Rhinolophus ferrumequinum: one gene and its partner. The protein of the gene in region 1 interacts with the protein of each later gene in a biochemical or structural test. Links are inferred from orthologs where the notes say so. Each region holds a gene or a part of one and is shown in the gene's direction. Other genes may lie near its edges.

The links.
Region 2: the proteins of DAB1 (region 1) and LRP8 form a complex in vitro, tested with the Homo sapiens proteins (2 studies listed by BioGRID). The link is inferred for Rhinolophus ferrumequinum from reciprocal best matches to the Homo sapiens genes DAB1 and LRP8.

What each region holds. Positions count from the first base shown.
Region 1 is NC_046292.1:41,418,861-41,426,404, reverse strand, and holds the start of DAB1 (disabled homolog 1), read left to right. Parts: upstream 1-4,542; 5' UTR 4,543-4,651; intron 4,652-4,799; exon of another isoform or gene 4,800-4,912; intron 4,913-7,544. UniProt on the Homo sapiens protein: Signaling adapter of the reelin-mediated signaling pathway, which regulates the migration and differentiation of postmitotic neurons during brain development.
Region 2 is NC_046292.1:38,163,337-38,170,226, reverse strand, and holds the start of LRP8 (low-density lipoprotein receptor-related protein 8), read left to right. Parts: upstream 1-3,878; 5' UTR 3,879-3,921; coding exon 3,922-4,027; intron 4,028-4,786; coding exon 4,787-4,906; intron 4,907-6,890. UniProt on the Homo sapiens protein: Cell surface receptor for Reelin (RELN) and apolipoprotein E (apoE)-containing ligands. LRP8 participates in transmitting the extracellular Reelin signal to intracellular signaling processes, by binding to DAB1 on its cytoplasmic tail.

The sequences.
Region 1 (7,544 bases):
AGAAGAAGGAGGAATGGCACCAAGGAGGCAAAACAAACAAACAAACAACACAGTAGTCACAAAATACATGGCAGCGATGTCACGTGATGTGCTGATTCTTCTCTGCCCTGATACTCTCTAGGCATCAGAAATTCAGTCATTTTCTGATACGTTTAGTCCACTCCTATTTTCAAGTACAAACATCCCCTTAATGCCACTTTATGAGTGAAAAAATTGGGGGTTTGTATTGGGACTTATGAGCCCTTTGACAATCACTTTAACTCTCCACTTTGTTTCTTCTGTGCATTTAGCTAAAAAGAGCAGACTGCTGGCATAAATGCAATTGCAGTGTTGCTACTCTCCTCCACGCCCTCCTTGGAAAAATAAAAGGACTGTTATTTATAGTGACTGTAAACCAGAGTCAAGTTTAGTAATACTGCCAAACAACCTTTCCCTGGAATCAAGCAAGGCCAGTATCATAAAAGAAGGGATCTTCTGTTTTGATGAAGCCACATAGAAATTTTTTTTCATTGCTTTTTTGACCTCAGAAGAGAAATAGAAATTGGATAGTTTACTTGTTTCTACAGCAGAGAAGAAAAGTGTCTGAAATGTGGATAATGTAAGGTTTGCAAAATATTTTTCCTGCTTTTTTCAAAACTGGACCCCTTTATTTTCACACTAAATTCAAAAGTCTTGAACATGGCAAGCCAGACCCCTTCCTATTTGTTTATGCTGTTTTTCTAGAGTCAACTACAGTCTCATCCCCCAGAGAATAATTTCTTCTGTGCTTTTGCACATTCTCTTTTCTTTGCCTGAAATACCCTTCCCTTCTTCATCCGGTTACTCCTTATCTTTCAGGGTGATACAACTTCTTTTGTGAGGTCTTCTTAACATCCTACCCTGGGTTAAATACCCCTATTGGATGTGCCGCTAAAATCCTGTACTTAGCATTATCACGGATAGCACTGATCGCAGTGCAACATGATGACATGTTTCCTTCATGTGGCTATGGCTTGTTGGAGAGTAAGATTTTTGTTTTGCTTTTATCTTCTGCTCATGCCTGACATTATGTCTGGTATAGAGTAAGTGATCAGTAAATATTTTTTGAATAAGTGAATAGAATACAATCTGAGTTTGAACATGACTTTGAATGAAAGGGACTGTGAGAAACTTACACCTTTGGTATTAACCTTTGAAATTTTCTGTGTTCTATATGTTAGTATATTTTGAACACATGATGTCTCTAATAAGCTTTGTAAAAATGTTCCTTCTGAACATTAATTTTTTATTAATTTGAGAGCTTTATGTGTATAGAAATATTAGCATATTCCTGGCATATGCAAGCACTTAAACTATTTAATAAATGGTGGCTATATAATAATTTGTGTTTGAAACTCCCAGCGCTTACAGCACAAATTCATTTTATTATACTCCATCCAATGGAAGGTATATTTGAAACAAATGTAGGAATAAAGAGAATTTTAAATCATATAGAATACACAAAACAGGCTACTTTGCATTGCTTTCTTCGGATGAGTTATTGCCAGTGGGATTTAAGATTTCTGACATTTGGTTTTGCTTTCAGTGATGGGTCAGTTTCAAACAGCAGTTAAATAGGCAGCCCTTCTGAGTATCTTGAGAATCAAGTGCATAAGGATGAATTATGAGAATTCAATAAAACTCCTTTTGCCATCTGCATGCTATCCATGCCCATGTTTTTTATTCAGTTGACACTGAGCTTCTCAAAAGCAGGATCTGTTTCTGATTTATCATCATTATGTCCAATGCCTAGCACAGTGCCTGATGCATAGAATGGACTCCATAAATGTTGTTGTTGACTTAAAATTAACTAGTTTGGAATTCTGGAAAGAGAACCAATGCATAGTGTGTGACTTATTCTGTTCCCACCATGTCCAATGCATTATCTCATTTAAGGCTCACGGCAATCTCATGAAGTACGTGTCTCACGAAGTAGGTATCACCATTGTAGAATTTAGAAGTTCAGAGAGGTAAGTAACTTGTCAAAGTTGATGCAGGCCCATCAGCTTCCAGTCTGTATTCTATCCAGTACACACCATGAGAGTACCTCTCTCACTGGGTTAGCACGAAGGCTAAATGATTAAGATATGGAAAGGACCCAGAAGGGTGCCTGAAACATAATAAGCAATATATACATCTTTGCTGTACTCATTACTTTGTTGTTTCTCAGAGTAGATGGTAGAAGAAAGCATATGGATTTTTTTTCATATGCAAAACTTAATACAAATGGCCTTGTTATTTAAATGAGAAGAAAAAATACCGTAAATTTGAGATGACTTGTTATTTGACATGTTTAGCATAAGTTAAAATAGTACTACTTCAAAATTCGGCTTGGCTTAACCCAAAAGACTATTAGGTCCTTGGGCAGCTGTGTGCAGTTAGAATCTACATATTATGCTTTCTTCCAGCCTGGAGTTGAGAACAGCTGCAGCTTGTTGCCCCTGTTGGATTTAATGGGAATTTGCCCAGTTTCCATAGTGGACCATGTCCAGCACTGAATAGAAATAGAGTTTTACATGAGCCTTTTCCATTTCTATTACTCTTCCAACTCAGTGTTCCACACTCCCTTCAGTGTCTGTTATCATGATGTCAATTGAAAACAGAACAAGGTAGAAGAGGGATGATCGCAACAACTCTTACATGTGGGATATTAAAATGGATGTAAATGGTTTTTATGTTCCCTGGCTATCCACTGAAGCATGGAGAAACTTTGGATTTTTGTTTGTTTGTTTTTTTTGGTAGAGTCAATGAAAAGTTCGACCTCTGTTTGATAATCTAAAGTTTGACATTTGCCCCAGCCACCTGAAGTGCGTAATAGTTTTCTATACTCTTTCCTTTTATTTCAACCAAGTCTTCTTGATTGGTCTGTGTTCCCTGGTGTTTTTGTTTTTATTTCTGTTTTTTTTGTATTGAGTTCAGATTCCCGATGTCTGTCTTTACAGAGTAGGAACCTGAAGTCTTTTATTAATCTTATTAGAGTTGGCTGGAGAGCCTGAACTTCCTACTAAATGAATCTTAAGTGTTCAATAGTAACTCTTGCCACTCTCTAGAACATTGAAAAAGCCGGAGAGACTTGAGCCAGTTTTGTGGTCCCCACCATTAGATTTGCTGGTCATACCCAGGAGTCAGTAGAAACAGTTATATCAAGGGGGCACCTGCCTCCCACCTTGCTGGGAGTGTCCTCTGATCAACTATTTCCCCTAGATTGTATCCTGCCAATGACCTCACACGTTTTTCTTGTCTCTGTGTAAATTGCTATCTTTTCAGGAGGTGCATGACAGCCTCCATACACTGGGGCCTCCATTTGTACAGAAGCTGTTATTACGGAATAAGTTTAATGGGTCGTGAATTTTGTGGTGAAAAGGAGGGTCTCTCGATGACTTTGGATGTACAAGCCACAGACCTATTGGCTCCACAAGGATTGCATTAGGCTAAATATTTTTAGCCCATTGACTCTAGAGGTAATAACCCTAAATGCTTCATTAAATTTTCATGGGTGAGTGACAGAAGCTATAAGGGAAAAAAAACAAAACTCAAATCCACCACATTAGCTTTATTATTACACAGCTGGAGGACAGGAAGTGTGGCCCCTACAAAGGATAAAAATAAACTTTTTGAAGGACAGTTTCCTGACTCTTCCTTTTCCATGACCTGCTCCAATGGGTCAGCACTTGATCTGATTTGTTTCCTCCCACACCTGGCATTTTGCCCTCTGGAGGCCAATATACCACAACAAGCATTTACTGGAGTTGAATCCAGTCTCAGGATAGAAAAATTTCCAGACCGACACAATATTTTCTGCCACTTACTGAATTTTTGTAAACCAGGACCAGAAGTAGGAAGCTGGGGTATTCTCCCAAGCATGTTCTAATCTGAGACTCCTCCTCTCCTAGGAATTTTAAGAAAAGGAGTGGGGAGGCTGGGTAGGAAGGGGCGAGTTGGGGTTTACCTGGGGCCTGCATACTTTCAGTTGCCTGAGTCCCTGGACTGATGAAAACGTGACAGATGCAACCCTCTCCTCTATCAACTTTGCGTGGGAAGTTTCAGCGAAGACCAGAGCTGCCAAACCACATTTGGCCGCTGGGAGTTAGCGCCCCCTCCTGCGTGGGGGCTACATGTCCTTGCCGAACCTCAATTCTAGTTCTCACCCACTGGCGCTCTTTGTATTTGGGTGTGCCTATGTTTAGAGGTTTGGATAAAAGAGTAGCCCTAGATAAAAATGAGGGAGGCCGGGCGAGGGCTGCAGCTGGTGGTGGTGGTGGTCATGGTGGCGAAAACACTGGATACTTTCTGAAACCCGAGTCCGGTAGTTTTCTCTCCTTCTCTCCCCCACGCGCTCTCCGCTGGCACAGCCGGGGTTGGGTACCCTGTGCTCTCTGCTCCGCTCTCCCCCTCCACGCCGGGCTGGGGAGTGAGTGCAAGGGCCCCAGAGGCGCCACGGCGAACCGCGGCGCCCCCGCTCGCTCGCTGGCTCGCTCTTCCTCCTCCTCGTCGCCACCGCGACTCGGCTAAACCCTCGGAGCGCGCTCGGGCAGCGCAGAGAGCGCCGGGCGGGAGCGAGAGCAGGAGCCGCAAGGCTGGGACAAGGGGCGCGCGGCGGGCACCCCGGAGGCGGCGGCTGGGTTGCCAGCAGGTGAGCAGCGCCCACGGGCGCCCCGTGGGCGTGGGGCAGGAGGGGCTGGGGCTGCAGGAGGAGGCGGGTCTGCACACAGGGCGGTCTCCTCCCCCTGCTCTGACGCGGGGCCGTGGCTCTCGGGGAGGATGGACCCAGCTCCGTGATCGCCGGGGCTTCCCCGGGCTGGAGAGCGTGCCTGAGTGCTGCCGCCCGCCGGGCATGGGGAGCCGCTTCCCGCGCGGCTGCGGCAGCGGCGGAGGATGCTCGCGGCGAGCCGAGGTGAGGTGCGGCGGCGGCAGGAGTTCCGTGAGGACAGGAGTTCAGAGCGGGCAGTTGCCCGGTGGGCACAAGGCGCGGGGACACCCAGGGCACCCCTCTCAGGAGTTTGGTTAGGGGTACCGCGGGGACAGCGACTGCAGTTTTCCGCCCGCTCCCTCCAGTTGCTGGGGAAAGGGGCAACCTCTGAGCCTTCTTTCTGCGTCTCCACCATAACCCACAATCTCCCTACTTCTGACCACTCGCGGTCCCCTCTCCAGACCTCACCCCAAATACTTGTCTGTCTCCAGGACCCCTTGCAACCTCCTTCCTTCTACGCTCCAGTCTCTACCCAACCACGGACCTTCGTTCTCCCACTCCAAAAGCTACCCGGTTTTCTCGAGTCCTTCTCCCTGCTTCGCTGGCGGCGTCCCGGGGCTGGATCCTCTTTCTTACTCAGCCAAACCCAGTTTTCACTTCCCTACTCCTCTGCGCGCTGCGGTTCTGCCCCGACCTGTGGAAAAATCGGATGTATCCCAGGAACCCCTACGCTTTCGCAGACAGCAGTCAGAGCTAGAGCCCGCGTCGCCTCTGACTCCAGCCCTTCCCCGGGTCCTCCACCGGCCGGGCTCTCCATCGTTTTCCTCCCCTCCGTTCCACTCCCCAGGCGCCCTGCCACCCCAATAGGTTGCCTCCCCAACCCGCACCTCTTGCTTTTCTATGCTCTAGACTCCATGCTCTGCCTCGGATGCAGAGCTCAGGGTTTTCTTTCTTCTTCTTCTAATTCTTTTCTTTTTCTTTCTTTTTCCTACTGGGGAAACTTTAAATCCTCAAGATTTGGCTCTTAAGGAAGCCCTAAAAGGAGGACTCAGTCGCCAAGAAAACCTGGAGTCAGGGAGTCAGAGATGAGGGGAGTTTGTGTCGCGCCGTCGGAAAGGGGTTTTGGGATGAGCGTACAAAGTAAATTTCAAAACCGCTGTGGTTACTGTAGCCCGGACTCTCCTTCCCGTCTGCCTTCGTCCTGCAGAGTACCATTATGACCCCTGGTGGGAGGGCGCATCTTTTTTCTGCTCCTGTTAAAACGCCTTTGTGTGGGTGGTGGACCGGACGCGGGATGGTGCAGGGTTGGGAGGCGGAGGGCACCAGGGAAGGCTGCTGCCAGAGGCTGATGCCACTTCGCTCCTGCACAGCTCCCTCCCGACCCCGCCAGACTGTGTACGTTCTACTCCCTGTAAGCTCCCCGTCCACCCCCAACTGCATCACACAAGTCCTCATTGTTGGGGGTTCGCCTGGGCACTTCCGCCTGGGCTGGGAGAGTCTAAAGGAATGGGATGGGGGTGGGGAAGCCCGGGGCGCTTGGCGACAGCAGTCTGGCATTCGCTGGAGGCTTGGCGGTGGAGGAGGAGCTGAGAGCGCCGCGTCGCGGGCATCTGTGTGCTCCGGCGTGTGTCGGCGAGGGTGGGGTGCGTGCCCACGGAGGTGGGTGCCTGCGGGTGCGTTTGGATGCTGGCGCACGCCTGAGCTTAGCTCCTTTAGAAAGATGGGCGAGTGGAAAGCTTGCGGAAGCCAGCGGGCCTTTTGCTGCCCCGGAGCTGGGTGGGCCAGCGAGTCCTCCGAAATGGATGCTACAGTGCCGTCCTCTATAGCGAGTTGCCGGGACCGCAGGAGGATCCTCTGTCGCTTGTTCCTCCCTTCTGCTCCCCTCCTACTGGCCATTTCGAAGTACTTTCGCAATGTTGATGGTTTTGAATAAAGGCCTTGTGGGGGTTCCGCTGACACTTCATAATACTTAACATTTTTTCAAGTAATCATATGAAGGTAGCTTACATTCAGAACCCCCTGATTATTGGGTTCACGTTTGTACATTTATGTGCCAATGATAGGTCTTCAGGAAAGCCATAACGTGGTAAACCATCCCCACCCCCTGAATTAGCACCCATTGTTTTTATTATCTCAGTGGTGCGTGATTCTGGACGGAACCCAGAATTGCCCAGGCTTGAAGATAGATGTGCAGGAGGGGAGAGATTGCGTGACGAGGAGCGAGCTCCACCGCCCCTGCCCCAGCCCCTCCGGCTCTTTCACTTCCTATCCTGACAAGGCTTGGAGACAATTCTGGAATCTAAAAGGGATCAGAGATTTTCTTGATTTCCTATTGAGAAGGGCGACCTAATCAAAGCTGTATAAAAGTCAACTTCTAAGCAATCAGAAATTGCTGATGTCTTTGATTGAAACCCCAGCATTCAAATGGAGTTTTGAAGAACTCCCAGACATGGCTTTGGAAGTGCTATTGTTCTTTTCCATACACAGAGGCCCTCTCAAAGGTTTAGGAAGTTCAAAATGCAGTGATTTGAAAGACTGACCTTGTAACTATTTGGCAACTCGGAGAGGATCAGCAGGGATGAGAGAAGAGGCTGAGGTGGGAAGTGCAAACGTGTTGTTACTATCTTCTTGGGAACAGTGCCTATCAAGTGGGAATTCAGTCCTTCACATCAAGTTGGCAATTAAAGCTCTTCCCCAAACAGATTTAGAAGATGATTTTTAGTAGTTTTTCATTTCTTTCTTTCTTTCTTTTTTTTTTTTTTTGGTGGTTTGCTTAAGGTCTGAATAGGCATATCTGAAACATTTAATCATGTTCATTGTATTCAACAATAAAATC
Region 2 (6,890 bases), about 3.3 Mb from region 1:
AGCACGGTATGATCAGAGAGATTGGGAAACTCAGTTTTGTGGGAGCCCAGAGGAGGAGGCAGGACCTCTCCAGACCAGGCTGGAAGGCTTCTCAGAGGAAGAGGTATTGGAACTGAGGCCCAAAGGATGACTAGAAATTAGCCAGTGCAAGAGTGTTCTAAGCAGAGGGTACAACCTGGCAGAGGCCTGGAGCTTCAGTTCTTGAGGGGCAGCGTGAGGGACTAGATGTGCATGCGGTGGGCTGCTAGGCATCTGGTGACTCTAGAGGAAGGTCCTGGAAGCTTGAGGGGGGCGGAGAAGGGTGTTTTGCTGATTGCAGGTGGAATGTCCCTGTTTTTGTCTCATAGGGAGGGAATTCATTGCACTTTGGGTTGGATTTGAGGGATTTCTTTGGAAACCCAGGAGTGGACAAGGCCCATATCTTTGAGTCAGCCTAGGATGGAGAGAGAGGACAGGTAAAGCAAGAAGTCCCCCGGGCAACAGAAGGTGTACCAGGACCTCAATGTTCATCTGGTGTCTGGTGTGTACCAAGGGCTGGGCTTTCTCCATTTGCCCCTCACTGGAATTAAGCAACTTATGTGCCCTGAACAATTCCCCATTCCGCCATCTGGGTTTGAATACCTATTTACTAGCTGTGTGACCTACCCATTCCTCAGTTTGGTTATCTATGAAATGGGATAAACGTAAAACCTGCCTCATGGAGCTGTTGTAAGGACTAAATAAATTAAAGCATTTAGAGCACTTGGATGATCACCCACAAGCGTACAATAAGTATTAGCTATTATTGTAACGTGATATGGTTTTCCTTTTAACTTTTTCAAGTATTTAAACATCATTTATCTAATGCTTGCTATATGTCAAGCCTTGTATTTATCCTCTGAATATAACGATGATAAGACACAGTCCTTCTGGGGCTACAGAAACCTTCAGTAAGGGCAGGAACAAACAAGGACTCAGAAATGCAGGACAGCAGGTTCCTGTCCTCAAGGAGATCACAGGCTGACTGGGGAAAGAGGGAAGTGGCCCTAACTAGGTGAGGGTTGATGGGAGCCTGGAGAACTTTCTCCTGAGGGGGGCTGTTGAGAGACAAGGAGTTGCCCACTTTTGCAACTAGACATATGTGGAACAGTATGATCAAAGACACCCCCCACTTTGCCTGGTCTCAATCTGTAATATTTGTGTTGGGAAGTCATCAGAGGTTTTTGAATAGGGAATTATGTTTGAATAATAGCAACATAACAAAGTTATTATGCACCTACTGTATATTGCATATTGTGCATACATAATCTCATCTAATAAAATCCTCACTATAACCCTCATCATTCCCATTTTACAGATGAAGAAACTGAGCCACAGAGGTTAAGTGAGTTGCCCAAGGTCATATAAGTAAGAAGGGAAGGAACAGACTTAAACCCAGGCAGTCTGACCCAGGCTCTTAATCTCTCTACCTTACTGCCTCTGAACTTCAGTCCACACCATTATCTTAAAACTAGAATGAACTTTGGAAATTCCCCAATTTTACAGATGAGAAATTGAGGCTCAGAGATGGGAACTGACTTTCCTAAGACCACAGAGTGAAGGAGGAAGGGCTGAGCTGGGGAGGTCAATCTGGTCTTTAGGAGGTGCTCTATACGCTCCATAGTCCCAGGTACCCTGTTGTTACAGTGGGCATATTGCTGGCACAGTGGGCATTATTGTGCTTGGAACAGTATCCAGACTCCTTACTACGATTTATAAAGCTCTCATATGATCAGGGCCTTGTTGAATCCCTCTGACCTTACCTGGTCACCAACTTCTCCTTGTCACCAAGCTCCAGCCTACCTCAAGGCCTCTGCACTGCTCTTCCCTCTAACAGGAATGCTGTTCCACATGATCTTCATGTGGTTGGGCTCCATTTACTCTGTTTGGGCTGCCATACAAAATACCATAGATCGAGTGGCTTATAAACAACAGAAAAATTTAATTCTCACAGTTCTGGAGGCTGAGAAGTCCAAGATCAAAGTGCCCTCTGATTTGGTGTCTGGTGAGAGCCCATTTCCTGGTTCATAGCTAGCCTTCTTCTCGCTGTCTTGTCATATTGTAGAAGGGGCCAGAGATCTCTCTGGGTTCTCTTATGAAGGCACTAATGCCATTCATGTCCTGATTGCCTCCCAAAGGCCCATCACTCCACATACCCTCACACTGAGGATTAGGTTTCAACATACGAATTTGGGAAGGACACAAACATTCAATCTATGACAGGTTCCTTCCTGCCATTCAATGAAATGTCACCAACTCAGAGAGGCCTTCCTTGATCACCTCTCCAAAATTACCTGCCATCACTCTTATATTACACTGTTTTATTTTTTCCACAGCAGTTGTGATCTGAAATTATCTTTTTTATTCTCTTGCTTTTGTGTCTGTCTTTCCCAACTAAAATGTCAGCTGCAGGAGAGCAAGAGTGACCTCATCTATTTCTACACTGTATCCCCAGGCCTCAGACAATGCCTGGTATATAGTAGGTGCTCCCTAAGTTTTTGTTGAAAGCGTGCCTGCATTTCGTTGTCGTCTGTTGACGGTATGTCTCCCCACCAGGGCTGGTACCATGTCTGATTTATCTTGGCACCTCTAGGCCCAGGACAGGTTGGCTGAATGAACAAAGATAGAAGGCGTAATGGCAGGAGTACCTGCTGGGCTTTCTGTGGAGTGGCCACAGCCATTGCTAAGGGCCTGCCCTTTCTGGGAAGTAATATCCAGAGGTTGCTGATGAAACAGAGTCTGTCTCTTTTAATGGCCAATGCCCTCAAGCCTCATTGTCCAAAGAAGGTTGTGGGGGTTGGGCTTTGCTTACTAGCAGTGTGCTAAAATCTCATCCTGGGTCTGCGGTCTGCACCCTGCACCCCGGTATGGGTGAGGTGGGGCTGTGACCTTCCAGAGGAGGGACCTTCTCATTCATACAGAGGCCTGCAGCAGTGGCGGACAGAGGCCCTGAGTGTGCATTCCCTATGGGCAGGGATGATACATCCTTTCTGTGGGGCCCCACAGTCCCTGCCCTTCTCCATCACAGCAAGGACTACCATGTTGTCCCTGTGGGTCCTTCTGATTGTCTCCCCTCTGGCCTGCCCTCTGGAGAATGTCGAAAAAGAATGAATGAATAAAGTCTGCACCAGGCCCAAGTCACCTGCCTCACATCCTCGGCCATGGTCACGTGAGCTGGTAACGTGCACAGATGTACATGAGCACATTAACCAGCTACTCAGATGTGTAATCAGGGCTGGAGCAGATGCGGGGTGCAGAGACCCAGTCCCTCTCCCCCACCTTCTCCCTGATCTCGCACATCCTGGTATCCCAGCTCCTGTGTATCATCACCTCAGCGCCATGTGCACACTACATAGGCCTGTGCATCTAGGAACATCCTCTCCCCTCCGGCCCAAGTTCACTCCTAGGCATCCATCAACCTTCCATCAATTAGCCTGTCACCTGCTCCAGGCAGCCTGTTCTGCTTCCCCTGGACTGTCTACCTCTGAGGGCAGGGACCTCGCTAGGCTCACCCCAGCGTCTGCAGCGCCCAGCACGCAGGGGGACTCTGAGCACGGTCACCAAGAGCCTGGGGAGGGAGGAGTGGACCAAGGACATGAGGGAGGAGGGAGAGGTGGCAGCAGCGAGGAGCGTGGGGCGGAGGCGGCAGCGGGAGGGGGCGCGCGCGCCGGTGGCGGCAGCCCAGGGCCGGGGCCGCGCGCCCAGCCTGAGCCCGCCCCGCCGCCGAGCGTCACGGAACCTGCTTGAAATGCAGCCGAGGAGCCGGGGCGGGCGGCAGCGGCGGCGGCGGCGGCGGGGGCAGCGGCAGCCCCGGCGCCGCGGCAAGGACTCGGCGGGTTGAAGCGCGGCGGCGGCAGCGGCACGGGGTGCACGGGGCGCGGCGGCCGGAGCCCGGGGCCCGCCATGGGCCGCCCCGAGCGGGGCGCGCTCCGGCCGCTGGTGCTGCTGTTGCTGCTGCTGCGGCTCCAGCATCCTGCGGCGGCGGCAGATTCACTGCTTGGCGGCCAAGGTGCGTGCAGCTGGTGCCCGGCCCGGCTCTGCGCTGCCGGAGCTGCCAACAAAGCGCGGCCCGGCGGACAGGGAGCGGGTTGCGCCAGGGCCCCCAACCCCCGCCTGGCAGAGGCGCTAGTGGGGAATAGACTCCTACAGACCGAGTTATCCCATAATTTGTCCCTCGCCCCCCGCGGCTCCCTGTGCTTTGGGCTCTGCTCCTGGGGGATGGGCGCAGTGGACGCTCCGCGGACCGGAACTTTGCAGGGAGGGTTGGTCATTGATGGTTTTGTGTGGGCTGATTCCAGTGGTTGGGGTTCATTTGACACGAGCTCTCCGCGGCGGCGATGAGCGGAGCCAGGCGACTTCCCGCCTGACAATGCGTTTCCGGGGATCCCTGCGTACTGCTGAGAAAGAGGGGCAGCCTGCGAGAGGAGGATGTGCCCGTTGCGCCCAGTGCGTGTGTCGCGGCGTGTTTGTGGGCTCTCTGTGTGCTGTCTGCGTAGGTCTCTGACTATGGGCCGAGTGTGTGGGTGAGTGTGTCTGAATGGGGGGTATGCCTAAATCGTGTGAAACAGACTGTGTGCCTGGCCTCGTCGTGCCACGGCGCTGCCCGCCATCCCAGGAACCCTCCTGCCCTCCTTTAGGATCAAGGGCGCCCGAGGTACCCGGGGCGGTTAGCTTCAGCATTGTCCCTTTCCTTCACCCCAGTAGACCCCTCCGGGTGGCCAGGACTGCATGGTCCGTGGGTCCGGCTCACTCCCCTCTCCCTGCGCAGGGCCGGTCAAGGAATGCGAAGAGGACCAGTTCCGGTGCCGGAACGAACGCTGCATCCCCTCTGTATGGAGATGCGACGAGGATGATGACTGCTCCGACAACAGCGACGAGGACGACTGCCGTGAGTGGCCAGCAGGATTGGGAGAGAGCGGTGGGGGGCGCCTTGCTTAGCGCGCACGTGGCGGCAGCTGCAGCCGGGCCACCTGCGTGGACCTTACTGTCGCAGATCGAAGCCGGGAAGCCGCCCGGGCGCCGCCTCCCTCCGGGCTGAGTGGCTCAGAGCAATACGGCTGGAGCTGGGCGGCAGGCGTGTCCTAATGGGGTCTTGGGCGGAGCCCGGGGCGATGTGGCCCTGATGGAGGGCACGCCACACCCGGCTGCTGGGCCGGAACTGTGAACCGGGAAGCGCCGTCCCTGCACGAGTCTAGCTTCCAGCGATACAGCTTTCCCGTACTCCCGCATCGGCTCCACAGAACGCGCGCGTGCCTCAAAGTTCCACGCAGCTCCAGGCCTTGCCGCGCTCCTTTTCCTTCTTGATTTTTTGTGAATGAATGGGCTCCCCGGGGCCCCTGATTGGCTGGGCGAGGACCACCCCATAAGCCCCCGTGTCCAGAGCGGCCAATCGTGGAGCGGGAGGGTGTGTAGTTTTCGGGCGCGGAGGGTGCAGGGGCCCTGCCCTGACCCCGCCCCGGCCACACCCCCGCGCACACCCTGGGGGAGGTAGGTGCAGGCGGGGCCTGGGCCCTGACGCCGGTTGCTTTTCTGCCTAGTCACGGTGAAGCCCTTTTTGTGCCACCCTGGTTAGCTGACTGCACTCTCCTGCCACCTCGGCTCAGGCATGAGTCATGGGGCAGATCAGAACGAAGGGGGCCAGGAAGGGACCCGAGGATCGCCAGGCCGCGCGTGAAGGCCCCTGCTGTGTGCTGGTAGTGGGCCGTCTTTGCTGAGTGTGGTGCTTGTACACCTGGGCGCCGACTGATTTGGAAGTTCTCTGTTGGGGTGCAGCGGTTTCGGCTGTCTCTGGGACTGGAAGAGAATTAGGTGACTGTTGTCGCGGTGGAGTGTTTCCAGGAACAAAAAAACAGGCCTGTGGGAAACATGGACGCCGGTGGTCATTCATTCTTCATTACTAGGCGCCTACTGTGTGCAGGCCCTGGAGTACTTGGAGAACAGGCCCAGCCCGATGGCCACGGAGGACAGGGTTTACAGGAGGACACACTCAAAGCTCCGCAGAGTGAGAGGGGTGGCCGCGTGGTAGAGAGAACACCTGGTTAGGCACCTCTGTTGAGTCCTCGAGTTTTTTCTTTTTTTTCTAGGTTTTCCCGTCAGCCTCCAGGTTTATTTTCTCAGACCCAACCCAGAGTTCGCTCCGTGACTGGGGCATATCTTCTCCTCCTACCTCAGTTTCCTTACCTGACCACTTAGGCTAACGATTCCTGCCCTGGTTTTGAGGACCAGTTCTAGTAATTGGGAGTCATGAGACTAACATGTACTGACTGGTAGCGGTGTGCCAAGCACTGTGGTAAGTGCTTATTTTACATAAACTCCCTGAATCTTCAGACTAGCCCTATTTTACAGACTGAACAAACGGAGGCACTGACATATTAAGTTACTTGCCCCACAGCTGTTGAGCTGCTAAGTAAGAGTTTGGATTTAAGCATCTGATTTCAAAGTTCTTAGCCTAATCACAACTCTGACCATTTCCCAGTGCTATTGAAATTATGAATATGGCCAAACTGGGGTAAAATATTGTAGTCAGTCTCATCCCTGGGAGTTGTTCTTCTATGGTCCCTTTTGCAGTGGGAGTGTTGAGGGTGAGGCAGGGAAAAAGAAACTGCATTTCTAGGCTGATTTCACTATCTCCCGGATTCTTTATAACATCAAGCTGTGAAGAGCAGAAGTTTTTCTTGTCATCCTGTTTGTAGATAAGGTCGCTGGTGGAGAAGTTGTGTGATTTGCCCAAGGTCACCCAGTGGAGAAGGACAGAACTGGGTCAGGATGTCCTCGGTCAGGATGTCCGCCTACCTTCCAGCTCAGGGGCACTATCTGCTGCGGTGCGGAATGTGGTACAGAAGGACCCTGGAGGGTGGTCCAGGAACTGGGAA